Linked DNA regions of Lytechinus pictus. The protein of the gene in region 1 purifies or fractionates together with the protein of each later gene. This does not show direct contact. Links are inferred from orthologs where the notes say so. Each region holds a gene or a part of one and is shown in the gene's direction. Other genes may lie near its edges.

Region 1 (7,100 bases):
AAAAAGGCTATTATATTCATCCCTTTTTCCTTTCCCTTTCTGTCTTTTTCCTCTATTTTTCTTGGTCGTGAAACTTTTTTTTCGGTGGGGCATGGCCTCCAAACCCCTAGCTATCTGTATGCCAGTGGGCCACTTGGACTGCATGGGAAAGGATGGAGGTTTGCGGCCCCAAAATCCAAAACAGTGCCCTTAAAGGTCAAATCCACCCCAGAAAAAATGTTGATTTGAATAGAGAAAATCAAACAAGCATATCAACGCTGAAAATTTCATCAAAATCGGATGAAATTTTTAAGTTTCGCATATATGTATTTTTCAGAGAATAGAAAAACAACTAAGTGATGTGCAAATGGGAGATTCGATGGTGTCCCTCACTTACTAGATCCTTTGTTTTTTATTGTTTGAATTAAACAATATTTATACAGGGTTTTTCTTTTTTTTTAAAAGGCAACCGAAGTTCAAAGGCCATGGGATCTGGAATTTGACATGAAATGAGGGTCTTTATACTCTTGATTTGTGAAAACTGACGCCTGCATGGGGACCGTTTCATGAAAGAACTTGTCAGACGTTTTATCCGACAAGTTCAGGGGGGCGTTTCATGAAAGGACTTGTCGGACGTTTTATCCGACAAGTCCCATTTTATCCGACAGTTACCATAGTAACAGTACCTCATCATCATCATCATCATCCGTTTAAGTACAGTCCACCAGGGGAGCGTTTCATGAAAGGACTTGTCGGACGTTTTATCCGACAAGTCCCATTTTATCCGACAGTTACCATAGTAACAGTACCTCTCAGCCAATCAACATCAGAGAAAGATGTCAGATCTGACAACTTGTCGGATGAAAATGTTGATGAAACACTCCCCGGGTTGGTGTATTATCGTACTTGTAAAAAAAAAAAAAAAAAAAAAATAAATAAATAAATAAATAAATAAATAAATAAAAAATAAAAAAATAAAAAAAATAAGCCAATCAACATCAGAGAAAGATGTCAGATCTGACAACTCGTCGGATGAAAATCTTGATGAAACGCTTCCCTGAAATTATAGGGGCTTGGGGACGGGAGAGAGCGGGTATAATAGGTTACAGTGGATTATAATTGGGAACTGATATAACAGGCGTGAAGGGGGGGGGGGTGGCTTAAGGGCTGCACATAAGTAACCTATACTGCCGTACGTGAGTGCCCATGGGACCCCCCTACCCAGGTGCAGATATATCCTGATTAGATTTTGAGAGGCCGACTATTATGCAAAAATAAACAATATGGCCTCTAAAATGGTGTTGTGTCTTATCCGGCTGAATCGGTTCCCCCCATTTGTAATTCCTGCTTTTGAATTTGAACTGATGGGGGTGGTGGCTGCATGAACTTGATACCTCAAAACGATTTTTTTTTATCAATCATTTATTGGATTCCCACATAATTTGTTATTGCTAGACCTTTTTTATACAAAAACTGCAAAATATACACCAATTTAATTATTGAATTTGCTTGTGATCGACAATTTTCATGATAAACAACTGCAAAATCAGGTGAGTAAATAGTATGATTTTGATTAATTTAATTAAAATTTCAACCCTTTTATTTCTTCCTAATTGCTTAATATTGGAAAAGGAAAATTTCACACAAAGTTCAAAGTTGGTTTGAATAAAAAGAGAAAAATCAAACAAAATTGGATGTAAAATAAGAAAGTTATGACATTTTAAAGCTTTGTTAAATTTCAAAAAATAGTTATATTCACATCCTGGTCGGTATGCAAATGAGAGAAGACTGATGACATATAAGATTCGGTCTATATATCTATTAATCATTTCCCCTTACATTTGCTTTATTCCCCCCTTTTATCTTGGTCGTGATATTTTTCAAACTCTTATTTTGTTTTATTTATTTTATTTATTCATTAATATTAATTTGATTATTTGTTTGTTTATTTATTTATTTATTTATTTATTTATTCATTTATTCATATTCCACAAATTTTCAAATTACATTTAAAAATAAATTCTATTCCATCAATTGATTATAATTTATCATCATTATTATTATTTATTTATTGTTTTTGGGGAGGGGTTATGGCCCTCAAGCCAGGCCTCCATCTGTACGTAATAATAATAATAATAATGATAATAATAATAATAGTAATGATAATAATAATAATGTTAATAATAATAATAATGATAACAATAAGCGCCAAATCCACTCTGTAGATTGCTCAAGGCGCATAAAGAGCAAAGAGTTTAAAAAAAAGTTTTTAGAAGATTTTTAAAGTCTCGACAGACGTACGTTTTTTATGTCTTCAGGAAGGCTATTCCACAAAGTGGGACAAGCAAAAGCAAATGATCCCCCCCCCCTCAAGTGATACGTAAGTGATATGATGTCAAATATAACCATTTTTTTTTTGTAAATCATAAAAGCAGCTATACTTGCATGAAGGTGAGCATTGCAGTGGCGTATCTTGGACAAACGGCGCCCGGGGCAAGCGCTAAAATCGCGCCCCTTTCAATGCGAGTGTGAATGTTTTTTAATATTAAGACATTAATACGGAATATTCTAAGTTGTCTTTTTATCATAAACATGAAGCGTATCTAACTAAGGAACATGTTCACACTCTTTATAAGTGATGTGCAATGGATTGACGCTCAAGTATATGTGACGAGAGGTTATAGATCTTCCCCTTTAAGGACGTTCCACAGTTAAAATGAAATCCATGTCATTTTCACCAAACTTTGCACATAGATACTTTAGAACCTGAATATTCGAAATATGCAAAAATTAACATAGGTCCATGTGCTTGATTTTTTGCTATGGAGCTTCAAAGTTCACCCGAATGAATGTTCTTACGGATTGCGCATTCAAAAGAATTTGGCATTTTTAGACCTCGCAAGATCACTACAATGAGTTTAAACCTCTATTACTCAGTCAAAATACATGAAAAAGTCATCAAATTTCGCAAGAGAGTTTATAAGTGTATCGTTAGAATGGATAATCTATTTATAGTGCTATTTGTTTGCAATTTTAAGTCTAACAGCACTGTGAGTTCTTAAAAATGGCGTAAAACATAACAAAAACCCAATCTTAAAAATGTGAAATTTCAATAACAAACTACAAAAGTACAATAAATGCTGCACTTTATTCAAAATCCATGTCATTTTCACCAAAATTTGCAAAGTTGTAGAGGAAGGTATACCCAAGAGGTGCAAACATTAAAAAATAGGGCTTCATGTGCTTGTTTTCAAACTATCAGCATTTTCATTAGAGCAAATGTGCTTTTTAAAACACCAAAATGCGCCAAATGCTTTGTATCTATGAGAAGAAAAAATCAAAACCACTCTACCATTTATTTAAACTCGGGGTCATATTTGTGATTTTTGGCAGCACTGCAGAGTAAAGTATTTTAAAATTGTAAAGATGTTTTTTTTAAATGGTCCATGGAATAATTAAGGTTTTTTAGCTTCATAAACTAACGCATCGGATCTGCAGTTAGAGTGCAGATGATGAGAAAATTCAGTTCATACCCACAGCTAATTAATCACCTGTTCATTCATTGTGACGTCAGCGCGCGGAGTGTAAAATATGCGCAGATCATAATGCACACAAACATAACTGTGGAACGTCCTTAAACAAATTTAGGGGGGGGGGGGTGAAAAATTACCTAACTTCAGAAAAACCCAGTGCACTTCATTCGCTATATTGTATGAGCTAAAATGTGCAATGTTACCAAGGAGTTGGGAGTTTTGTGTTATGAATTTTAACTTCATAACCTGTGTACCATATACCTTCCACTTTATCATGTAGATTGTGCGCCCCTCTTTCTATCGCTGTCCGAAACTATCAAATTGATTTTTTAAAGATTTCTTTATATATAACATTAATGATAAAATCACTATTCGATGGTAATATTGACATTTTGTACATGGAAACTGAAAAAAAGTATGTGTGTGTGGGTGTGTGTGTGGGAAGGGGGGAGGGGGGCTCCAGTTCCGATGACTCATCCCCGGGACTCACCTTTGATATATGGCTAGCTCGGGAGACAAACCACTGTCTGAAGCAAGCCAGAGAGAGCAAGCGGTCTAGCGCCAGCTGTTGATGATATACAGCCGATTTCCCGAACATTCGTCCGTCCATATCTGATCGAAGCTGAATCAGAAGTATTGAAGCTCTGACAAAATGGTTGATTACAGCAAGTGGGATCATATTGAGGTAATATTATGTTCCGTTTTAGGTTTATCATTCGTGACTTTACATAATGTATTTTTTTGTGATGATTAAAATCATTTGCAAACAATTTCAAAGCCAGTCTTCATTTTCTTTATTGCAATTTGTTGAACCCCACCAATTTCAGTTTATGGGACTGATGTAAAGTGATTTTTGTGACTCTGACTCTGAGTCTGACTGAGTTTAGCTTGTGCCAAAGTTGTGTGGGGGGAGTGTTGCAAACGAGCGGACTTCATTTTTCATCAGGTTCGACAGGATTTTTTCCTCTCATATGTGAGTTTATTTAAATTTGGCACTGCACTGGCAATTTAAATTGGAAAAAAGACACAGTGACTGACTCACTGAGTAAAGCCTGTGCTTCAGAAGTTCAGTACCGGTATTGTATTACCGTAAGTAACGGTGTATTAACCGCACCCGTGTATTAACCGCACCCCCCATTTTCGGATGGAAAAAAAAAAAAAAAAAATCATAAAAAAAAATTTAATCAAACTTACTTTCTATCTCTAATATGCGTATTTAAGAAAGAGTCAAGAGCCAAAAAATATCGAACTTTCGAAGAATTACTGGTAAAAAATGATGGGAAATCAGCGCTTCGTCACTTATCTGCAAGTTGCCGATATTATTGGCCACTTCCACACTCCGAGTCACCTCACACACACACATATGGTACCGGTGTTCATTGCAAGTACCGATACCAGCATCAACATGGGGGCTCACCCATACGAGAAGATCGTTCATATCATATTTCCTGCATCACAGCCCCACTTTTGCTTTCAGAATTCTGTCTAGCATTCAATGTCTTGACATGAATTTTAGACAAGGGAATACGGGAAGGTTCAAGATACGAGAAATTTGCGATTTTGTTCAGGTGTTTTTCTTGTCTGCTTTGAACCACTACCGGTAGTTCTCAGTACGTGTGTGGCAGTATCTTACAGACAGCAAAATAGGAAAAAAAATGCTAGTACCGGTATACCGTATTTTCAATGGGAGCTCTGGGCGGGAATAAAGTGAATAATAATTAAAAATAAAAAGTCGGGAGGAGTGAAGATGGGGATTGAAGATTGATTTTGAGATGATGGATGATAGAGAGAAATGAAGGAAAGGCAAATGAAAGAAATTAATTGTCAAATAATACCAATAATTTGTCAAACAAAATAACTTCCACAGAAAGGTAAAGCGCCAGCTTACGTTGACGTTGCGATAAACATTACACATGCATGTCTTATTCGGCTAGCTGCACCGCGCTGTGCGATCGATTGGCGTCTGAACTTTGCCGCGATGACTAAAAAATGACAACAAAGACAGAGTCACACCATTAAAATAAGTCAGTTTCATGAAGGTAGGTGCGTTTGTTACCGTGATATAACTTTGAGGGACATTTACGGCAGATACCGGTAGTCATAGTTGCTTCCCTTTTATACCCGCGGCTCATACCCCTCTAAACGGGATTGCCCCAAGCGGCTACGCTCGGCCACCCGACGCGAGTTGAAAAATGGTAGTGGTATCGGGCTGAGATTGGCTTGGCTCAGACCTGTCACCGTGTATAAACCGCACCCCCGACTTTTGATTCTGTCCCGCCGAGAAAAAGGTGCGGTTAATACACCGTTACTTACGGTACTTTGTAAAACTAAAATGAAATGGTGCATGTGCTCACTGGTTCACCCCGACCATTCGCCATACAGAAAAATGTACGGGGTGGGACTGATCTGAGACCAGTGCCGCTAACACTGTCATTTCTAATGTAGGAACGCGCGAAGTAAAAGAGTCTGACTTACCAATTCTTGTGTTGACCCAAATGCAGATTTTGGTTCTACTTAAACAGGATTCCAATGCCCAATGAGTCAAATATCGTCCTTCAATTGAAGATTTCTTTCTAAATCGGGTAAAATCATAAGGAAATTTTTCCTTATTCTCGTCTGGTCCATAGTCTCCTACGTAAGTATTTCAGCACGCCCTCTTGTGCTGAATAAAAGAAAGCTAGCCACTGAACAGTGGCGACCACAGAGCTGGTTACAATAAGCTCCTACCTGTTTCCGGTGAAGCATAATAATAGGAAGCTCCGTGATCCGGGGACTGTAGTCTTTTTCTCACCAGACACCACTAACGTACCTAAGGGGCAGGGAGGGCAGACTGCACCCCCTGACGAGTCACAACTCATGCAAGGGACGTACCCCTGCCCCCCTGACGAGTCACAACTGATCCCTGTGACGAGCCACAAGTGGCCCCCTCTTTTGAACTTGAAGACCTTTTTTTTTTTTTTTTTTTTTTCAAATTTTTTGGCGGACGAATTTGCCCCCCCTTTGGAAAATCCTGGGTACGCCACTGCCTGACACTCAATATTTTGTTCACTATTTTTTTTTTACACAAGAATTATTGTTGTCACAGGCGGCGGAGGGGGGGGGTACACATTCAATACCCCTTAAATTTCAGGAGGAGGGGAGAGTTCCCCTTAATAGAAATAAAGAAGAAAAAAAACCAAAGAACAAAGACTGAAAAAAAAGTAAGAAATAAAAAATCAAAAGAATTAATTTACGCTCAAAAGAAAAAAGAAAGAAAGGGTAAGGGAAGAGGAAAACAGACAAATGATGCTCTGGATACAGTACTAGAAATATTATAGATAAGCCCCCCAAAATAGCCATTTGGAGTTTTTGGACTTTTTTATTCTTTAAACATGTTTATCTAGACGAAACAAAATTGCCAATCTGTCGAGGCTATCGAGACATGTTTACCAGAATGCATCACGAGTAGTGTTTCATCCATCGGGGTGGATGAACCTCTATGGCTTCGTGATATTTTTTTCTTTTTCGATTTGTCACGATCAAACACCATTGAACGAACCAAGAGTAGTGACGGTCACCGGAGGTGGAAAAATCGGTGAGTTTTTAGTC
Region 2 (7,703 bases), about 960 kb from region 1:
TTATATAGATGCATAAATTTTCTTTCTGTATAAAACACGTACAGATATTTTAACTGTTTAAATTTAGAAATCGTCTTTTTTATTTTATTCGACGTGCTTTTAAAGCTGCAGCTGTAATTCAATGATTTTTTTTATGTAACGCATAGTTTAACTTTATTTCTTTATCTAGTGAAGAAATTATGCATCTATTGATCTGACATCGATTTATGTTACGCCTTCCATTTGGCGTGATTTTTAATGTACAATAGAGTTTGATTTATGTAGATGCATACATTTTCTTTCTGTATAAAACACGTACAGATATTATAACTGTTTAAATTTAGAAATCGTCTTTTTTATTTTATTCGACGTGCTTTTAAAGCTGCAGCTGCAGTTCAATACTTTTTTTAATATGTAACGCGTAGTTTAACTGTATTTCTTAGTGAAGAAATTATGCATCTATCGATCTGACATCGATTTATGTTACGCCTTCCATTTGGCGTGATTTTTAATGTACAATAGAGTTTGATTTATGTAGATGCATACATTTTCTTTCTGTATAAAACACGTACAGATATTATAACTGTTTAAATTTAGAAATCGTCTTTTTTATTTTATTCGACGTGCTTTTAAAGCTGCAGCTGCAGTTCAATACTTTTTTTTATATGTAACGCGTAGTTTAACTGTATTTCTTAGTGAAGAAATTATGCATCTATTGATCTGACATCGATTTATGTTACGCCTGTATATATATATATATATATATATACATACATTTTCAGGGGTTGCGGAACAAGTTTGAAAGTTGGGGGAGCTGACCATGCAAAACAACACAATCAGATGATCATTTTTACGTTTTTGTCAACGGTTTTAGAAAAAAAGTGGGGGAGGGAGGGGGGCTTAATCCCACCCAGCCCAGCGCCCCCCCCCCCTATTCCACAGCTCCTGATTTTCAGGTGTTTTTGGACGTGCTTTTAAATAATATGGATAAAAGATAACACTTTCTGTCTGAAACACGTTCAGTCCTGTTTAATCATTTGAGAACGATTCAAGAAATGAAACAGTTGGGGTGTTGATTTTTCCCCCTCTTCGCTGTTTCAACCAAAGTGATTTCAGATTCACATTGTATACAAACACATGTATGAGTGTATTAAAGAACATGTGGTTTTTATTTCATGTGTACAGCTACCATCACACCAACGAAACCGACTCCAAACGGACCGATTTTATGTTATTGTAATCGATGTACAGGCCACACCTGACGATTGGTCCGCGACCCGATTTTGGAACAAAACGTAGTAGAATTTGATGCTTATATTGAGACATAGAATATGATCGTACTGTGATTAAATGTTCTAAATCATCGTACGAATACCTATGTTCAAATATGTGACTATGCTATCATCCCTATTATAGAATAAAAGCGGATTTAATATATTGTAATGACATCATAGCAATTGCACGATTTGAAACTAATTTGGACTTTACTCATTTTACTCAAAAATAAAGGCTTTCAATCATACAAATTTGTTATATTAATGTTCTCACAGTTAATCTGAACCTCAAATAAAAATATAAAATGAGCAAAATGCGATTTGTTCCAAAATGGGACCGTGGACGTGCGGTGGTCTAAATAGATTGTGTTAGTCTTGAGTCGGTATCACTGTGTGACTGTCACATGGATGTGTCTCAGATTCAATTTCATAGTTATTGTACATAATCATGCTATGTATGTTTTTTTTTATGTATAGATCTGTGTTTATGAAGAAAAATGTATATGTGGTTTGACTGTAACATTGATGTGTCTCAGATTTTATTTCAAAGTTATTATACATACATGTATGCTGTGTTTTTAAAATGTATAGATCAAGTGGTGTGACGGTGTGACTGTCACATTGATGTGTCTCAGATTCCATTTCAGAGTTATTGAACACGATGCTGTGTGTTTTTTTTAATGTATGGATCTATGTTTATGAAGGAAAGTGTACATTTGGTTTGACTGTTACGTTGATGAGCCTCAGATTCTATTTCAAAGTTGCTATACATAATTATGCTGTTTTTTTTTAATGTATGCATCTATGTTTATGAAGAAAAATGTACATGTAGTGTGACTATATGACATTGATGGGCCTTAGATTCTTTTTCAAAGTTATACATATGCTGTGTTTTTAAAATGTATGGATCAAGTGATGTGACGGACATTGATGTGTCTCAGATTCCATTTCAAAGTACATACATTTATGCTGTGTGTGTTTTTTCAAATGTTTATGAAGAAAAATGTACATGTGGTGTGACTGTTTCATTGATGTGCCTTAGATTCCATTTCAGAGTTATTGTACATAATCATGCTGTGTGTTTTTTTTAATGTATAGATCCATGTTTATGAAGAAAAATGTACATGTGGTTTGACTGTGAAATTGATGTGCCTCAGATTCTATTTCAAAGTTATTATACATATGCTGTGTTTTTAAATGTATAGATCAAGTGATGTGACTGACTGTGACATTGATGTGCCTCAGATTCCATTTCAAAGTTATTGTACATAATTATGCTGTTTTTTTTTAATGTTTATGAAGAAAAATGTACATGTGGTGTGAGTATGACATTGATGGGCCTTAGATTATTTTTTCAAAGTTATTATACATATATTGTGTTTTTAAATGTATAGATCAAGTAGTGTGATTGTGACATATTGATGTGTCCCCGGGGGGGGGGGCACTCGACCAAAAAAGTGGTGGGGGTGTGCCGCGGGCGAGACAAAAAACGGGGGCCTTGGAGCGGGCTTATTGTAAAAAGGAGGGTCCTCGGAACGGGCTTCGGAACTACAAATGTTTGTGAAAACGGGGGTCCTTGGAACGGGTCGCCTGCGTGCGAGTGCGTATGCATCCCTATGGAACGTGCATGCAGCTGGGCTTCGGCACTACTGACGGGCGCGCTAGCGCAGAGGCGATGGTCAGACAGCGAGCTGCGGCCGCAAAATTGCAACCGGAACGGCGTAACGGAAAATATGCGAAGCCCTGGAGCGGATTTTTTTCTTCTTTTTTTCTCGTGAAGAAGAAAATGCTATGCTTTGGAGCGGCTTTCTTTGTTCTTTTTCTCAATAAGACACAAATGCTATGCCTCGGAACGGAAATTTGAGTGTAAAAATGGGGGTCCCCTCCGCGGCACATACCCACTATGCATTATATACTGAGTGCCCCCCCCCCGGGGATGTGTCTCAGATTCCATTTTAAAGTTATTGTACATAATCATGCTGTGTGTTTTTTTTTTATGTAAAGATCTATGTTTATGAATGAAATGTACATGTGTTCAATATATTAAAACTTTTTTATATGGTCATTTGTTATGTTCATGTTTCATTTTGTAGGTTGGTCATCACCCCTTAAAACACCCCCCCCCCCCCCGTCGTTCCCTCTAGATACGCTTTCTATTCTGTGAAGTCCAAGGCATTCAAAGTGGAATTCCTGTGGATGGGGTAGATTGAAGGGCCCTTGGGGCAGATCCTGTCGAGATCGGGGTTAGTGTTTAACTTGTTCACAAGACTGACAAATACTTAATTTCAGATGTTTCTTTCCAATTTTTGATGCAAACCTTCGGGCGTCTAGATACACAAAGGGGAGTTTTATCGTCATCGAAAATGCGAATTAAAGGGTCTTTTTTTACAAAATTTTATTCGTTTTCATGATTTTTCGCGGCCCAATATAAAAAAATCGTGCGTTTCAATGTGACATCCAACTTTATGAAACAAACCTCGTGATTTCAATTCACTTCATTCATTTCTACAATCAAACTTTAATAGCAAATCACTGACCAGAAAAAGATAATTATTTCAAATCCCGATAAAATGGGTATTTATTTTATTTATCAATTGTTTTTAATTTTTTTTATCCCCATTTCGGTATTTACATCACTCCTCAATAATCATGATATCGTCATCCTACAAGTCGGATCTGACAACTTTTTTTTATTTTGATTGAGGTACAATCATTGGGGGATCCAGGGGGAGGGCACATCTGGCTCGTGCCCCCCCCCCCCCCCCCCCCATTTTGAGAGCCATAATCAATATTTTGTAATATAAATATGCCGTTTTTACCCAAGTGTGCCCCCCTTTGAAAGTGAGGACTTTTTTTTTGCTTATCAAGTTTTTATCGGGAAAATGTGCCCCCCCCCCCCCCCCTTTGGAAAATCCTGGACCCGCCCCTTCGTACAACTTGCCTAGCTGGCTCTATAGTGGTCACTGTTAGTTAATCATACAAAACACTCGACAAGTTCTTTCATGAAACGTTGCACTAAATGAATGTGTAGAAAATAAAACATCACCGAGAGGGGGTGCTAAAATTAACTGATAGAATGGCCAAACATTTATTTTCGGAAAGAAATTGTAAAAATGTTTGAATCGAGCTTTCGGTAAGAGTGACGTCACAGTGGAAGACAGGACAATGTGTATCAGACCATAAAGATGCAATGATAAATAACGGTTTGGTGCACAAATTAATGTTCATTGTTTGTCCCCAACATAACCTATGTAATATTATTGACATATCTCTACCTAAATTAACGATAATTTATATTGATGTCATCAGGTGGGGGGGGGGGGGGCACCAACAAAAGTCGGAGGTCAAATCAATAAAATGAACATTTTTTTTTTACAAATTATGGCCTTCTGTATAACATTACCACGCAAGGCACGTAGCTGCGGCGCGGACAATCATTTCTGTAGCACAGTCTAAATTGCGGAAGTAATCTGCTCACTACCGTATCGACGCAACTTCAGTGGGCGTTGAAAGCTACACCGTTTACAAGGTAAAATGTTATTTCTTTGTTATTAAGTTGCCTTATAAATATTCGATACGATATCCTGTTATATTTTGCAGTTATTTAAGATGAAATATTGTTCACTGTGTGTGTTTTGAACGAGTAGAATGATATTAGATGTGCAGGTACGTACTTCCTCATTACACCAAAAATAGTACGTGGGACTGCAATATAGAGTCTGCTATGAAATAGATCAATTTATTTAGTAACATTTTTGTTGCAGGTCTAAATGTAGATTTACGTGTTATATTTAGTTATTTTGGTGGTAGTAGACCGGTTCATCATGTTGTTCGCCTGTAAACATACGAATTTTCAGTAGATCTAGACTAGCCTACAACGATAAAGTCGATAGTGATCTGTCTTGTCTGATGATTAATATTAGTCTTTTTATCACGAAGGCTAAGTAATGTTAGACTAAGTTAGAGATACGTGGAATATTATAATAAAAAGCTGTGTGTCAAAGTTTGTAAACAAAGATGGATTTCCCTAGGGTTGGGCTGGCTGTCGCAAAATAATCTATGGAGGCAGCGTAGCTCAGTCGGTTATTAGAGCGCATATTTCGGATAAGAATTTTAAGATCGTAGATCTCAAGGTGAGGGGTTCGAGTCCCGCTCGTGCCGAAACGCGTCTAACAAAAACAAGTCTGATGCTATAGCGTTGTGTGTTAGCGTGCCTCACCACTGTATTCAGTGCAGGTTTGAAACTTTGAATACAGATGGAAAAACACTCCGTCCATCGGAAAGGACGCAAATGTTGGTCCCGTGTATACTATCTATAGCCTAGGAGAGGTACAACCTATGGCTATGCACGTTAAAACCAATACACTATTCATCAAAGAGTAGGGTGTTCACCCGGTGTATTGCACCTGCCGGTCCCGGCAAAATCCAGGTCAAGTACCCGATACGTTTATGCCCAGGAGGGCCCTGCATCGTATACATCCAGATCCAAAAGGAACTCTTAAAAACTGAATGATCACATTCTTTTCTTTTTGTTTTGCTATTATTCTGTAGATTCTATGCATTTACATAGATTATTTTTCTCATTTTCCACTTTTATTTCATCATTGATTACTTCTTCATCATCTTTTTTTTTCTTCCTTGCTCTTTTAAAAGAAAAGGTAAAATAGAGAAAATTTGGAACTGACCCAAGATGTGGAGGTCCCAAGTAGGAAACAATGTGAATGTCGCACAGGAAGAGGATGACGATTGGGAAACTGATCCAGATTTCGTGGTGAGTAATAAGCCTTATCTGTTGACTACTGAATTGTTTCCTTCTTAATCTTCTTCTTCTTCTTCTTCTGGAAACGGTACAGTCCACCGTCTGGTGTATTGTCGTACTGGTGAAGTGCAGCGTGCAAGTGTATGTACATTATTCAATAAAAAACTGCTTACAGCGTGCAAGTAAAAACAATCACTACCACCACCTCTCTCTCTCTCGTTTCAGTTCCTCCGCTGTTCTGAGATCAGCAGGTATCACTGCAAAAGTTGAATCAATGAGTCTGGTTCCCATATTGAAAGGGAACTTCACACTGATAATAGATTGATGTTACTGAAGGCAGAGAAATCAGAAAACAATATAGTATTTATTGTTTAAGGTTTGATGGAAATATGTCAAGGAGTTATGAAGTTTTTATTAAAGTTTTTATTTTGTAATGTCACAGACGAGCAGCTCCTCCATATATGTTGTGTGATAAATTCCCCAAATGCCATTTTCAAAAAAATGTATTGTTACCTGTGCAGGTGAATATTTCACATCCATTCTAATGTATGAGGAAAGTAATTTGTATTCATCATGTTCAATTCCAAAATTGGAATTTATGGAATTTGTATTCCAGACATATGGAGAAGCTGCTTGTATATGATGTCACAAATGTAAAACTTAAAAAAAATATTACTCTTCTTCTTCCATGGATTTTCATCAAACCTTCTCTAACATATTTCTTTAATAATCTTCAGGATGAACTACCATGATGTTACTAGAGTAATAATACTTCTGGTGTAAAATGATGAAAAAATATTGTAGTACTTGAAATTATTTAGAAAAATGATAAAGATTATAATAATAAAAGCAATAATACCGGTAGTGATTGTAATGATAGTTTGGAATGATGATGCAGATGAAAAATGATTATAGTAGGCATATTGATAATAATTATAAAGTAATGTTTATAGTTGATTTAATAATTATTAGTATGATGATAATGATAATAATGATTATTATATCAATATAAATCATATATATACATTGTACTTGTATTTAATTTATATTTTTTGTAGAACGATGTGAGTGAAAAAGAACAGAGATGGGGGTCCAAATCTGTTGAAGGATCAGGAAGGCAAGGGTCTCTCAAGTAAGTAAGGTTTCCTTTGTTCCTCTTCTTTTCTGTTTTCTTCATCTTCTACTTCATCTTTTTTTTCTTTTCATTTTTGTTTTGATCTTCTCTCTTTCTCTATAAATTTCTTCTTCTCTGTATCATTTTCCTTGCCTCTTTTTTGTTGTCTTCTCTCCTCTTTCTCTTTGTCCTCCTCTTCTCTCTCCAACTTTAATTTCATCATCTAATTTTTTTGTAACTCTCACTCTTCTAAAAAATATTTTCTCCATGTTTTCCTGTATCAGCTTGCTGAAATTTAGAAAAAAAACATGAATGCTTGCAATATAATATATTCATCTTTTATCTATAATTGAATACTTTCAAATTAAAATTTTACATCAGTATCAATGAGCTGAGAGAGAATGTGAAGCAAGACGATGCCAAGACAAAGGAAAAGGAACAGGCCACTGCTCCCAAAGCTTCGTACGGATATGGAGGGAAGTTTGGCGTTCAGCAGGACAGGATGGATAAGGTATGGGACTAAGGGTTAAATTTGCTATGATATATAAACCTTAGGGAATGCATAAAGCTGGTTATA
Region 3 (7,086 bases), on another chromosome or scaffold:
TGGCATCAAAGGCAACACTGAAATTGGAGAAGAGTGTCTGTGTCAGAGGGTCAACAGATGCCAGTGGTTGGAATCAAAGGCAACACTGGACTTGAAGAAGAGTATCCGTATCTTAGTGTCAAGAGATACCACTGGTTAGTGTCAAAGGCAACACTGAACGTGGAGGACAGTGGCTGCATCTTAGTGTCAAGAGAATGCCAGTGGTTGGTATCGAATTCAACTCAACTAGGAGTTGAATGTTCTCATCTCTTTTTGAGAATATGCAAGTTTAACCCCTAAGCATGATTCATATTATGAGCTGTGAGAAGAATGTCCATATCCTAGTGTCTGATAAGGTACCTTACTGAGAGAGAAGATATCTGATTATCTTGGGTGTCTTCTGGGGAGCGTTTCATGAAAGGACTTGTCGGACATTTTATCCGACAAGTACTGTTTTATCCGACAGCTACTATGGTAACAGTGACTCTCATCCAATCATTATCAAGGAAAGTTGTCAGATCTGACAACTTGTCGGACGAAAATGTTGATGAAACGCCCCCCAGATCCTGGTTTTGTTTGGGGGTGGTCAGGTGCCACGTAATTGCTGTAATATATCAGGTAAATAATGTTTTTTTCAGATTCAGGTATTTTCTCATTGTCTCACCTGCATAGCAGAAGTGAGAGCAGTGCCGGTTTTCATGATGAGGGCAGCATCATTAATTTACTTCAAATTCAGTTAATATTTTCTCCTGATGGTGCACACTGGACACTCCCATTAAGGTTTGTGCACAGTGCGGCACATATCGAAAAAAAATCTTCTTTGCACTGCATGTCCAATAACACTTGTAGTTCTGCGTGTTTCTTATATCAAGTTGGCTTCCCACAAGAAAGGACTTAGTGGTTATTTTTATGATTGTATTTTTTTATTATTCCCTTTTTTGATTTGATGATATTTTGAGTGATACTTGAAATTTAGAATCAACCTTTACATCATTGGATAGCCTACAATGTGCTCTTTCAATATTTGAAATAAAAAAAAATCGTGAAAATTACCCCAAGTCCCTTTCTTGCGGGAGCCAGCAATAATGTTTCCTCCTTATTTAAAAAAAATATCAAATCCAATTATTTTTTTGTATTCCTTGAATCTTGTATGAAGATAATTGTGTCAAGTTCATGCTGCCACTTTGAGAATTCATAATTTTGTATGAATATGTTATCAAATTTCAGGATTTAAATTCAATTATTTCCATTGCCAGGATGCTTTTCTAAATGACCCACTTTTCTATTACTGCATAAATTTGTAAAATTGAAAGGAATATAAAAAAGTTTCAAGCCCAATGAAAGAGGCTTTTGGTCCAATCAGCAGGACCATGGCAATAGTTATCTTAGATTAATTCAATAATTTATATTCAAAGAGTAAATTAAAGTGAGAGCGGAGAGAGTGTATGATATTTTAATATCACAAAATCAACACTGCTGCTATACTTGAATTGTGTAATGCAAGTGAGACTGCCCGGGATGAATCACTTGCTTTTCAGGAAATGCTCATGAAATTTAGCACACACATTTTTTGGCAATGAAAGAATAAAATTTCATGGTTATATTTTGTTGTTGCCGAGAATATTTTGTTGATCTTAGTGATTGCACACTGAATAAAGACTAGTCTTCCTCATGTTTCAAATAAGTTTATCATAATAGAAAATAATAATTGACGATATTTATGGAGCTTATTTATTGTTAAATATTTCATTTTAAAGATCTCGATTGTTGCAAATGAAAATGTGCTGGTAATCTATTATACATTTGATATTTTCCTTTTGAACATTGTAAGAATAATGTAATATGGTTTGCCAAAGATTAAACCATGTAATCAAACATGGTTGCTATGTACACTAATTATCCTAGGAAGAAAAGTGAACGACACATGCTGCATGATATGAGTACAGTTTAATGTGTTTTATATTTATAACATTTTCAATATATTGAAATGCATGAAAAATACAATTTTGTGAGCTTGAAGATAAGCAAAGTAACTAAATGGACATCACGTTACCCATGGTAAAAAATAGTTGGGGGTTCACACCTAGATGTTTTATTATTTTCTTTCGAAATGGGTATTTTACTTCAATTTTGGTACTCTGATTTTAAAATATTTCTGTGACAGCGAACATTTCCAGATTGCCTTGACAGTGGTAGTTGAAGTTCCATCTTTTTCATCAGTTTTAAAACTGATTAAATTATCAGTTACTCTGATTATATGCTTATTTTTAGTACTGTAATATAAATTCAGTATAATGAATTTTGATGGAAAGATATATGGCATTTCATAAAACATGCATTCTATTTTCTCACAATACTTATTGCAATATACCAAAGTAAATGGTGTCAAAAGGAGAAAACCAATTTTGTATATTTTTTTTTGTGAGAAAACAATGAAGTCAGTGACAATGAAATGATTAAATCACAATAAAGTACACCTTATTGGTATTTGAATGATACATCAATTGGGTTTTATGACTGCTGGGTCCCGTCTTACAAAGAGTTGTGATTCATCCGATCAACCTTAATTCATCCGATCAACCTTAATTATATAGAAATCCATCAATATCATAATTGTTCCCACTAGAAATTTGCACAATGTCCTTTTGTAAACGAAGAGGGGCATACTGAATCGCCAAGAAAACAACGGGCCCCAAGTTGCCCCAAGTTGCGATTGATTGCAACTTTTTCTGCGATTGATTACAACTCTTTCTGCAATTGATTGCAACTCTTTCAGGGGCCCGTTGCAGAAATAGTTGCAATCAATCGCAACTCTAAAATCATGCGCAACTTGATTTTCAACCAATCAACAGCGCGCATTTGGGACTTGTGATTGATTTTTGGACTTGCGTTTAAACGCAACTCTTTCTGCAACGGACCCCAGGGTCACCATTGTTGTATAGATATGTTTTTTTTTTATAGCACATGTTTCCCTTCCATTGCCCATTGAACAGACCAACTCTGAATCTGTCCAAATGCATCGGATATCATTTCTTTACTATCAAAATTAATTCAGGGAATCATTATTTCTATGTTTTTGATTGAAATTTCTTGGGGTTTATTGTAAAAAGTTATATAAAGATTGAAATTCCTAAAACATTAATGAACAAATGTGATTTAATGACTTTACGTATTTCATGTTTTTAATGTTTGTTGCTTGTAATGTGCTTAGTGTGCAAGTGAACCAACTACAGTTTTGAGAACAATAATGTTAAGTGATGTATTGCCCTCAAAACTAATGTCGTTATTGTTAACTATCACCAACTTTTTTTTTTTTCATTAAGATATTAGAAATTTAATTTCCCTTTTTTTAATTGCACCCTGTTCAATAATAAATGAAGTATTGCAATATGTTAATTTAAGTCTGTTATGCTGCATACAGTTTTTGTTTGTCCTGTGAAGTATTTAGCATTTTCTGTAACTATTTTTGGTTTCCTGATTTCATAACAAGTTTGGAAAATTATTTTCACTTTTATGAGCGAGAGAATGGAGGAGAGGGGAATGAGAAAGAGAAAGGAAAAAGAAAGAATTAAATTTAAGAAAAAGAAAGAATTAAATTTAAGAAAATGGAGGAGATGAAGGAGAAGAACAATGAGAGAAGATGAAGTGGTGAATGAATATGAGGAAGAAGAATAAGATGAGAAAAAAACTATGTATAGCTAGTGGAAGAGAAGAGTTTAGTTTTTAAACAAGCAGGATAAGGAGAAGATAAAAGGAAAGGATGAAAGAGGACAGAAAAGTGTAGGGGTGTAAGTTAGAAACGTGGATGGCAATATTCAAAGGGGGGGCAGTTCCAGAGGCTATATATTATGTTTACCAAAAAGGAAAAAAAGAACCTTCAAATCAAAGTTGTTATCCATTGTTTACTCCATCATGCAGTCACTTCACTCCATAAATTTTCTAAAATGTATGAGCAAAAGAAAAACTTTGCTTGTCTATACTTAAACTGTTAATCAACATTACACCTGAACTCATAAAAGATTCTCATCTCTTCACAACCATAAAATTGCTTCACAACCTTTTCATTTCTGATTGTCCGTCGAAGATACCGTACTCCAATTTAGAAAAATACGGAAAAATACATGGAGAGATTTCACGTGGATGAAGATGGCAGGTACCGGTGATTCATCGAAAATAAATGCGATTCCTGACATAATAGTAGACAAGCCAGAGATCAGTGATGTCGACAGAGAAAAAGCAGAGGCTCTCAAAGATAAAGCTAATACATTTTTCAAAGGTAAATCATGCAATTTCTTGAACTTTAAAAGTGCAATTGAGAGGAATGAACGTTGCTGTGAAGGGAAGTGCCATTAAACTGTTGATATATCATGTATATAGGAACCGGTACCGTACGGCTCCTATACCAACGCGTGCGATTTCTTACGCACGTAAGCGAGTACGAGATATCACGTTTCCATGTAGGCATCAGAAATCCGTCTGTTTGGAGGAATTTTAAATATGTTTTTTTTCACATTTAAAATATCTCCTACTAGAAGAACACCCAACAAATAGAAACTGGAGCTTCTAGTCTAGTTTGCTTGATAATAATGTCTTTTATGATACAAATTTCTCAGCTGGCTGTTTCGAGGAGAATTTGACATTTTTTAATTTTTGATTTCCCCTCAAACTCGGCTTGCAATCGTGCAGCCTCCATTAGGGGGTTAACAATACAAAACCGCCCTAATGGGCTCTTCAATTTTTTTTTTCTTTATTAAAAAAAATTAAGCCAAGAGAATGAAAGTTTTAGATTTGCATCCACCGCCCGCATGAAAATTTCATTATTTCAAAAAAATTTAATTATTTCAAAAAAAATTCATTACTTACTCTCCATCACTTACTCTCCATCACGAAATTACAAGCAGATCACTTCATGACTACGTTGTCGCCAAAATAATTCCTTCGGACTGCGTGCGAAAGTATCGATAGTGATAACGATATCCGGTCACATTGTCTACGCAGGAAATGGTCTTGGTTCGTGATCGGATCGCTCCAGTATCGATCAAAAATTATCGAGACTCGGCAATTTCATGCATATTCACGCGACGCTCCGAAACCCGGAAATCAATTGACTTTGTACACGTTGCGATAGACTCTACAAACTCCAACGAACACGATGCCATATCGACGCTAATTCGTAAGATTTTGACCGAAAAGCAAGAAGTAATCAAAATTCACTTACCTGTGCGGTATTGGTGAGAAAATAGATCCTCCAAGAATACCTTTCATAATTCATATATAATATAGGAAAGTGAAATTCTAGGTTGATTTTGGTACAAGGTGATAGAGAATTGCACACTTGTTTTGGTGGAATACTGTGTGGGGCTATGGAAGGCTTGCAATGCGCATGCTTACTATATTTTCATTCATAAATTGGCTCTCGGCAGTGGCTGGATGACGTCATGTAATAAGCAAAATGTACACGCCTGCTAGCGTTGAACGCACCGCTATCCGTTCTATACAATTTGCCACTGTACAGTAATGTTTACATACACTATATGCAAGTAGATAGCAAGAATATCGTCAAAAGTAGGTACTAGAAGTAAATAATGAATAATGAAAAAAAGCCTCATGTCATTTGAAAAATTTTCGGACGCAAATCTAATACCTTACTACTCATGGCCTTAAAATAAAAACTCGGGCCTGGGCTAAGCTTTACCCCGGGAAATTGGTGGGGCTCAGGCTAAGCCTCAGCTTCCTTATGAAAGCAAGAGTAGATGTTGAAAAGGGATGATTTTCAAGAAGAATCTGTTTATCACATTTCCATTTTCTGCCAAGGTAACCCTTTTGCAGGAAATGTAAATAAAGGAAATAGGCCTCCAAAACTGGAGACTGTCTCTGCTCTGAAATTGGATACCCAAATTCTTGACAAAAGTCTCTGATATTGGAGATAATCTCCAACATGGGAGACAGTCTCCCATATTGGCTGTGTGCCTCTGACTAAAACGCGAATATGTAATTTGCACCAACTTTGAAGGTGTTGTTCGAGTGCTCAAGTCGAACAATTATGAGATGCACTAAAATAGCCTAAATGACACTAAATACACATTGATATACGAATACAATAAATGAGTAGACTCACCGTAAGTGATATCCCACGATGAATCCAATGACAACAATAAATACAGCACAAATCAGCAATAATCTGGCATAAAAGTGACAACAGCAATAGTATAGTTCAACGTTTAGGTTTGGTTCCGTACATCTGAAGGGGTCTCCAAAAATGGTGTCGCCGTCTCCAACCTCGGTCACGTGATGCCAAATCCTGGCTCTCGATTGGTCATCTCCAGCAGAGTTGCACCCGGCACTCGATCTGGGTCCACCATGAGGCAACCAGCAGCAGATGACAACAGTTCAGTAGTTGGAAACGCCAAAGTTGGCCTGGCTGTTTCCACTACAAAGGAAGCCCATTCGGGCTGGAATCCCCCAATATTACACAGTGATGTGCGACTCGAGTCTGTTTATGCCGGATTCAGTCTCGGACTCAAACTCGAGGCATGTGACTCGGCAACGAGACCGGGTTATTTCCCCAAAATTTCACATAATAATTTCAAACATCACTCATACAACAAGGCGCGACAAACCCTCTTGCCTGCTTCAGTCAGAAGATCCATCACTCTCTGAAGACCAATCTGCTGTTCGTTTGGTAGAGACTCTACTTCCAGAGGGCTGGACAAATGGCCGTCTTGATGCAATACCTGTAAGAAACCAACGTTGCACAGCAGCCTGTGGATCGAATTTTGATGGTGTTGGACTTTCTGATGATATCCTTAATACTTCTGTAATGATTGAAGTGCTGAGACTTAGTCTCCAGTCCTCCTGGCACCTCTTGATGGTTGAGAATTGCCTCTCCACCTGAGATGTCGATGTCGGCAGGACTAGCAGTATTCTTATGACTTGGCACAAGTTGCGGGATACATCTTCCTGGTAAACAAGAACATTCTTCCACAGATGGTGGAACTTCTCTTTCTGCGAGGGCTGGAAAATTTGCTGTTTGAGATTCATCCACTCAACCTCAACAAGGTCTACGTCACAGCCCTTTGCCATCAAGAAGGGTCTAAAGTGATCACA
Region 4 (7,578 bases), on another chromosome or scaffold:
CGGAATATCAACGTTTCATGATTAAAGATGTATTTAGAATGCCTAGATTATAGGTCTAAATAAGAAACACGCGCGCATGTTTATATTTAAATCATTATCCAGTTTCACTAAAAAAAAATCACAAAAAAAAAAATTCTGCTCGCGCTTTGTGCTCGCATAATTATTGTAGGAAGACCCCCTATACTCATCCTTTTCATGATTTACAAAACATCAACAGAGTGGCCCATTTTTAGGTCTAAATCTCGATTTTTTTTTTGCTCGCACTTCGCGCTCGCAATAATTGTTAGATGATATAGCTATCCTGTTCACGACTACAAAAATTGATTAAAATTTTCCATTCTTTCTTTAGAAATTTCAAAAATTTTCAGCTCGCGCTTCGCGCTCGCATTTTTTGATTGTTAAAATATGTAATGCCTTCATGGCTAAGTGCAAGCAGTCCTTAAAGGTCAAGTCCACCTCTGAAAAATGTTGATTTGAATAAATAGAGAAAAATCAGACAAGCACAATGCTGAAAATTTCATCAAAATCGGATGTAAAATAAGAAAGTTATGACATTTCAAAGTTTCACTTATTTTTAACAAAATAGTTATATGAACGAGCCAGTTACATCCAAATGAGAGAGTCGGTGATGTCATTCACTCACTATATCTTTTGTTTTTTATTGTTTGAATTATACAATATTTCAATTTTTACGAATTTGATGATTAGGACCTCCCTGCCTGAAGCACAAAATATTAAAATAATGGAATTCCACGTGTTCAGGGAGGAATGAAACTTCATTTCACATGACAATGATGAGAAAATCAAAATATTTGATATAAAATACAAAAGAAATAGTGAGTGAGTGATGTCATCAGTTCCCTCACTGATTTGCATACCGACCGATATGTGCATATAACTGTACGTTTTCAACCGCGTAGCCAGGATTTCATTTTGGAGGGGGCGGTAAATGCACGCGAAGCGTGCCAACACTTACAGAGCGCGCGAAGCGCGCTCCCTAGGGGGTGGGTGCAGGGAGGGGGAGTTTCCCCCTCTCGCGCGAAGCGCGAAGCTTTTGGTGTTTCATAAATTAAAATGAAAAGGAACCGTCTCTCTTGTCTCTAGTACCTATATCAGCTCCAATTCAGTTGACTTTATTGTGATTTTGAACTTGTTTTTAAAAGTGATTGTGAACGCACAAAAAGGAATACAATGGAGGAAATTAAAATCATTATAACCCCGCGCGAAGCGCGGAAGCTAAAGCGTTTTATCAAATTTTTTTGCCATGAAAAGGGTCCCGAGAAAAGGGTATTCTCAAAGATATATTGAATACTTCCTTGGAAATATCAGATTTGATTACAAACAATTTAGCGACAGTGCATATCTTTAACTCGCAAAACAGAGGAGAAGAAGTGTATATGCCGGGAGGAAGATATTCCTCCCCGCGCAGAGCAATAAAACTCTGAAATTTCAAAGGGCGGACGTTTCATCAAATGCAGATATATCTAATACCCCATCGGCTCTAATTCAATTGATTTCCTAAGATTATTGAACTTCATTACAAGGAAAATAGTGCGCAAAAAGTTGAAACTTCTGTGATTTATTAAAATAATATAAAAAAGGATGCCTAATTTCTTTGACTTATCCTGAAGCGCTTCATTTTTAATTATAAAGAAACCTAAGTGTCATTCAAAATTTCAAACTGAGGGCGCAAAACAGGACAGGAGATGAATGTGCAGGGAAATAACATGAAGATTAATAGAATTTGAAAAAAAATATTGTACTTTTTTATTTAATACGACACGAATTTTATACATTCCTCTTCAATTAGGAACCTGTTTGCCCCAAATTATGGTTGTTTAGTAATGACCTGAAAAGCGGGAGAAGTTGACTTTACGGCAGAAATTGATATAAAGATTTTACCCGCCCGGAGCCGACCCGACCAGAAGTTGCGCGATCAATAAAAAAAAAGATAACTTCATATACTTCGGCCTAACCTTACTCTAATTCCATGCCCTAATCTATACATTTGAACTTTAACTGGCAAGAAACACATATAGCTGAGGTGGAAAAGCAGAGTTAGAGAAAGGGTGGGGGAAACAATGGAGAACTTCAATATTGTCATTTAACCGCGCGCAGCGCGGAAGCAAAATTCATATATAAATTTAAAGCAAGAGTGAAGGAGTTTCTCTTTTGAGAAAAAAAATAAAGAATAAAAAGAAAAAAAAACCGACAAAGCTACCTTTCTTCCCTTTCCTCCCTTCCCTTTTCCTTTTTTTCCTCTTTTTCCCTTTTTTTTCTTTTTGGGGACGTTTTTTTTTGGGGGGGCGACCGCCCCCACCGCCCCCCCCTGGCTACGCGCCTGACTGTTTTGTGAAATGAAGCGAAACTTTAAAATGTCATAACTTTCTTATTTTACATCCGATTTTGATGAAATTTTCAGTGTTATGCTTGTTGAATTTTTATCTTTTTATTCAAATCAAGTTTTTGTTGGGGTGGAATTGTCCTTTAACAGGTACTTTTTCAACAGGTACCAGTTCAAAACGTATAAAAAAAATTTCTGCTCGCGCATTGCGCTTGCATCATTAATACTAATCCTTTTCATGATTTACAAAACATGAATAGAGTGTCCCGTTAAGTAAATAGTATAGCTAGGACTAAATCTCGAAATTTTCCGCTCGCGCTTTGCGCTCGCATCAATTGTCTACTTATATCACTATTCTACTCGAGTTACAAAAAGTGCTTAGAATTTCCATTCTTTAGGTGAAAATGTAAAAAAAAATTCAGCTCGCGCTTCGCGCTCGCATTATTAGATTATTAAATGCTAAATGCAAGCAATCTTTAACTGGTATATTTTCCATCAGTTCATTTCTGCTCGCGCTTTGCGTTCGTAGTAATTATTTAGTTGCATACACATCTTTTTCAGGATAACAAACATTGCCCAGAATGTTCAAATTTTAGGAAAAATACATAAAATTTCAACAACAACAAAATTAGCTCGCGCTTCGCGCTCGCATCATATGAATAAGGATTATGATATTGTAAATTAATTTATAAGAATAAAGCTAAGAGGTGAATAATGAGGACTACCCCTTCAAAGACACAAACAAAAATCATCTTCGAGCTGCCGATCGGGGAAAAATATGGCTGAAACAAATTTCCGCCCCCCTATTGGCGAAGGCTGGATCCGCACCTGCGTCCCCCTATACCTTTTGGGAGAGATTTCCGCCCCTGTCATCATCATCATCGTTGTATGACATCGTTGCTTGAATTGGATCATAAAGAAATGATGAGAATCGGGGAATGCTTTCCCGCTTTGCAGGGGCCTGCATGGGAATTATAAGACTAAAGTTCACCCTGATTTGCTTGAAAAGAAAGAAAGAAACCCAAAAAAGAAAGATAGGCCTATATAGATAGAAAGAAAAAAATAAAGATAGAAAAAGAAAGATAGAAAAAGAAAAAAAAGGAAGGAAGGAAGGAGGAAGGAAGGAAGGAAGGAAGGAAGGAAGGAAGGAAGAAAGAAAGAAAGCCGAGGTTCATTTCACCCGAAAAGGATTATTTTGTCTGGGGGAAAAAAAAAAGTTTACTAACTGAGATCGAAGAAAAAGGGTTTTAGATCATAACTTTACATTTTAGCCGACCAAGCTAATTTCCAAGGGGTGCTGCGTTTGATGTGTAACACCTTTTAGTATATCCGCTTGCAGCAATACCATAAAATCATAGTTCTTGAGGTCAGCCAGTAATAGGCCCTACTATCTCACAGGGGCGGATCCAGGAGTTTTCAAAGGGGCCGGGGGGGGGCACATTTTCCCTCAAATTAAAAAAAGTTAAACAAAATAAAGGTATTCACTGTCAAATGGGGGGGGGGGCACATCTTTTTAACGGCAATTTTACATTAAAAATCCCTCTCAAGGAGGGGGGGGGGTGAATTGCCCCCTGGATCCGCCAGTGATATACGGTTTTTCAAATCCAAACATAAAGGATTACAACGGGGATTACAATAATGTAATGCACAATTTTTTTTTACAAATTATCGAACATAAGTTACAATGATAAGTTAACATTTCTAACAATAAACAGAGTCACAAATTAAACAAAACCAAAACAAAAGGAGAAACATGACAAAACAAATCAAATGCAGGAAACTTCAACTACATGCTGTCAGAAACCGTTTCATCAGATAATATAACGAGGATGATATTTATTAGCAATGTGGAACACGGGGGGGGGGGCTTCTTTTTTTTGGAGCAAGAAAAGAAAATGACCCTTTTATTAGATTGAAAGTCATTGATTAATCAATGACTTTTATGCACATTCAAATAATTCGGGCTATAAGTAAATAAAATTATTTTTCTCTGATAAATTTTTCCAGTGGTCGTGGAACTTTTTGGAGATGATAAAAAACATCTGTTTATTGCCCACTCCGCTTATTCGTAATATCTACATCTAATTTGAACTTTCGGAAGCCAGTTGTGCATGCACCCCCCTCCCCGAGATAACGGATTAATTCCGCCCCAGGAACAGATTTAGGCATCCTCACGATCACAGAACCTTATCCGCCAATTTACATTTTTTTTTGCTACACTCTCGAACAATAGATGGCGCTTTATCACGAGATTCATCAATCAATCGAATCGTTTTCTCTTGTTGCGTTGCTGTCCCTTATTGGCTTTGCTGTCGCGTACGCTTGGGTAAGATCTTTGATTTGATTTGATTTTAAAAATGTAGGAAGACCTAGGTTGATATGACTATTTCACAATAAGTTATGTTGTGATTACTGATGATTGTGAAAGAAAAGACCGTGGCTTTTTTTTTAAATTAAAAACACTCAACCGACACTGAAATTGAATTGATGGGACCAGAGGCATGAGAGGCAGGACTGATGCACTCACACAGTCACAGTCACTCTAGGCGACACCCCAATACTTACCCGTGCTAATAAACTGGGACTCCACTCACGCGCGTTTGGGCCTCCCTAGCTTAGAACTAAGCACTAATATCACCTTAAAAACTAAATCTACAAGGTATGTATAATCTATTTACAAATTTAATAATGTTTAATCGGTACTCACCGGTTCTTTTGTTGCATTTTCAGACCATTTCTCACAATTCTTCGTAAATATTTGCGGCAAATTTTGTCGCCATAGACAGCTTAGCGTCCATCTTTATTGATAAATGGAGCGCCCTTTACGATAGTTGTTAATGCCGCGGAGAAATCGTTAGGCATTTTGGCCTGTGTTCAAGGCGTTCTTTCTGTTTTATTTTTTATATTGAAGATTGTGCATTTGTTGAATAGCGCCGTCTACGTCAGGTATGAGATCGAGTGTATAAATACACTCTTCCAAAATAATTATGATTCCGACCTGGCGCTGTTTAACTTCAATCTCTTTCACCTAAATTAGCGATGAATGCTAGCATTATAAAATATATATTATTAACGTCTGACGAAAAGAATAACCAACCGATCAGCTGACGAGAACGCGAATCACGTGATCTTCATATCAGCTTCGATCGCGAGTCAGAAGAAAAGAGCAGCTGCCCAGAAAATCAGGAAAAAGCCGTGAAAATGTAAGTTCCCCTTCATTTCTTTCATTTTTTGTTGTTGCTAACGATGCATTTACACTATAAAATTATAATTTAAATAAGAGAAAGGAATTATAGCTTGTACTTGTGATATAATGTTTAAATATCCTGTTCTCAGAGATTTCTAACCAAAAATACTACTGATGTCGCCTATGAGGTCCATACATGTAATGTTGGACCTCATTGGTACTAGGAGTGGTCACAGTCACACACGTATTGCGACTTGCGAGGTTACTAACCTCGCACCATGAACCGCGTTTGGCAGTGGATTTCTAACTAGTGGGTCGGGCGTGCTGAGCCTGGGACGGTGGGACCCCACTTCATAGACCCGTAACACAAAGCTTAGCAATGATCGTAGACGTAGAACATTTTCCTACGATTGATTCCATCGACTACAATGTCAATCACTCAATGTATCTGGGGAGGCGCGATAGCTCAGTCGGTAGAGCGGGGGTTTCGGATTCCGGTGACCCGGGTTCGATTCCCAAGTGGTGCGCTAGTGCCCTTTGGTAAGGCATTTATCCTCATTACCAGGTCCCTCGGAGAGGACCTTAAGCCGTTGGTCCACTGGTTGCTTGCTCACAGGCATTCGTGCTTTCTTAGCAGTCAGGTATAACCTCGGTATAACTAGGGACTACAACATAACATAATCATATTCGTAAAATTAAAATCAAGTGTACGATCAATCGCTAACTGAAAGTTTTGTGTTTCGGGCCGGGGGGGGGGGGGGCACTCGACCAAAAAAGTGGTAGGGGTGTGCCGCGGGCGAGACAAAAAACGGGGGCCTTGGAGCGGGCTTATTGTAAAAAGGAGGGTCCTCGGAACGGGCTTCGGAACTACAAATGTTTGTGAAAACGGGGGTCCTTGGAACGGATCGCCAGCGTGTGAGTGCGTATGCATCCCTGTGGAACGGGCATGCGTGCATGATGCAGCTAGCACGGCCTCCGCCGGGTGCGCTTGCGCAGAGGCGATGGTCGGACAGCGCTCTGCGGCCGCTTTTCACCAAAATTGCAGCTCCTTGTAGCAGATCAATGCGACGGGAACGGCGTAACGAAAAATATGCGAAGCTTTGGAGCGGATTTCTTTCTTCTTTTTTCTCAATAAGAAGAAAATGCTATGCTTTGGAGCGGCTTTCTTTGTTCTTTTTCTCAAGAAGACAAAAATGCTATGCCTTGGAACGGAAATTTGAGTGTAAAAATGGGGGTCCCCTCTGCGGCACATACCCACTATGCATTATATAGGCCTACTGAGTGCCCCCCCCCCGGGTTACGGGACCCTGGTGTCCACCACACACGACAACTATAGCTTGATTTTTCTGTGCGCGGCGGCATGTAATGAACCCTTGGGTGGGACTGATAAGCTGAGCTTAACGTTAGAAATATATTTCTTGGGAAAAAACCTCAGCCAGTCATTTTCAGATTGAAAAAAAAAATGGTGCCCCATGTCTGCGCACCCATTCACTTCACTGTTCACACACGATTCAGGGATTTTGGCAAGAGTTCCATATCATATCAGTACAGTAGAGGCGCTGGTCCAAAAATTGGGATTGTCCCAGAAAACAAAGATATCCTCATTAACCAGGAGAAATCATGTCTTGATAAACTGAGATTGTCCTTGTTTATGGGGACAGTTTTTTTTTCACTTACGCCTGCGGGACATAGACGGCAAGTACGGGGATGGAGAGGGCTAAAATTAGATTCAGTGACCTCAGTTCCCTCCAGTTCACCGTCTATTTTTCACGACTTGCCGTCTTCCAATCTTGTAATGAAACCTGATATGTTTACATTGACTAGCGCACTCAATTGATGTTGGCACTCGACCACTCACAAGTTTTGCGAGGTTAGTATTAGTATACTAACACTCGACAGGTGAATGAACTTTCATAGATTTCTTGTGTGGAGAAATCTTTGAGGTAAGAGTTCCATATGCACATGCACCTAGCCTGGAGGCTCCTGGAGAGTAAAAATAAGTCTACTACATGTATACGTAGGCTTACTCCCCTGGAGCCTGGAATTG

The links.
Region 2: the proteins of hsp90 co-chaperone Cdc37-like (region 1) and src substrate cortactin-like purify together in Homo sapiens (affinity purification with mass spectrometry; 3 studies listed by BioGRID and IntAct, with this or other methods). This does not show direct contact. The link is inferred for Lytechinus pictus from reciprocal best matches to the Homo sapiens genes CDC37 and CTTN.
Region 3: the proteins of hsp90 co-chaperone Cdc37-like (region 1) and serine/threonine-protein phosphatase 5-like purify together in Homo sapiens (affinity purification with mass spectrometry; 4 studies listed by BioGRID and IntAct, with this or other methods). This does not show direct contact. The link is inferred for Lytechinus pictus from reciprocal best matches to the Homo sapiens genes CDC37 and PPP5C.
Region 4: the proteins of hsp90 co-chaperone Cdc37-like (region 1) and cyclin-dependent kinase 11B-like purify together in Homo sapiens (affinity purification with mass spectrometry; 4 studies listed by BioGRID and IntAct, with this or other methods). This does not show direct contact. The link is inferred for Lytechinus pictus from reciprocal best matches to the Homo sapiens genes CDC37 and CDK11B.

Annotation. Positions count from the first base shown.
Region 1 is NC_087263.1:6,062,356-6,069,455, forward strand, and holds the start of hsp90 co-chaperone Cdc37-like, read left to right. Parts: upstream 1-4,096; 5' UTR 4,097-4,164; coding exon 4,165-4,197; intron 4,198-7,100. UniProt on the Homo sapiens protein: Co-chaperone that binds to numerous kinases and promotes their interaction with the Hsp90 complex, resulting in stabilization and promotion of their activity. Inhibits HSP90AA1 ATPase activity.
Region 2 is NC_087263.1:7,026,326-7,034,028, forward strand, and holds the start of src substrate cortactin-like, read left to right. Parts: upstream 1-4,692; 5' UTR 4,693-4,782; intron 4,783-5,906; exon of another isoform or gene 5,907-5,911; 5' UTR 5,912-5,943; coding exon 5,944-6,024; intron 6,025-7,070; coding exon 7,071-7,144; intron 7,145-7,507; coding exon 7,508-7,637; intron 7,638-7,703.
Region 3 is NC_087251.1:45,944,086-45,951,171, forward strand, and holds the start of serine/threonine-protein phosphatase 5-like, read left to right. Parts: upstream 1-4,074; 5' UTR 4,075-4,119; coding exon 4,120-4,255; intron 4,256-7,086. UniProt on the Homo sapiens protein: Serine/threonine-protein phosphatase that dephosphorylates a myriad of proteins involved in different signaling pathways including the kinases CSNK1E, ASK1/MAP3K5, PRKDC and RAF1, the nuclear receptors NR3C1, PPARG, ESR1 and ESR2, SMAD proteins and TAU/MAPT.
Region 4 is NC_087258.1:23,329,615-23,337,192, reverse strand, and holds the start of cyclin-dependent kinase 11B-like, read left to right. Parts: upstream 1-4,575; 5' UTR 4,576-4,670; intron 4,671-4,883; exon of another isoform or gene 4,884-5,003; intron 5,004-7,578. UniProt on the Homo sapiens protein: Plays multiple roles in cell cycle progression, cytokinesis and apoptosis. Involved in pre-mRNA splicing in a kinase activity-dependent manner. Isoform 7 may act as a negative regulator of normal cell cycle progression.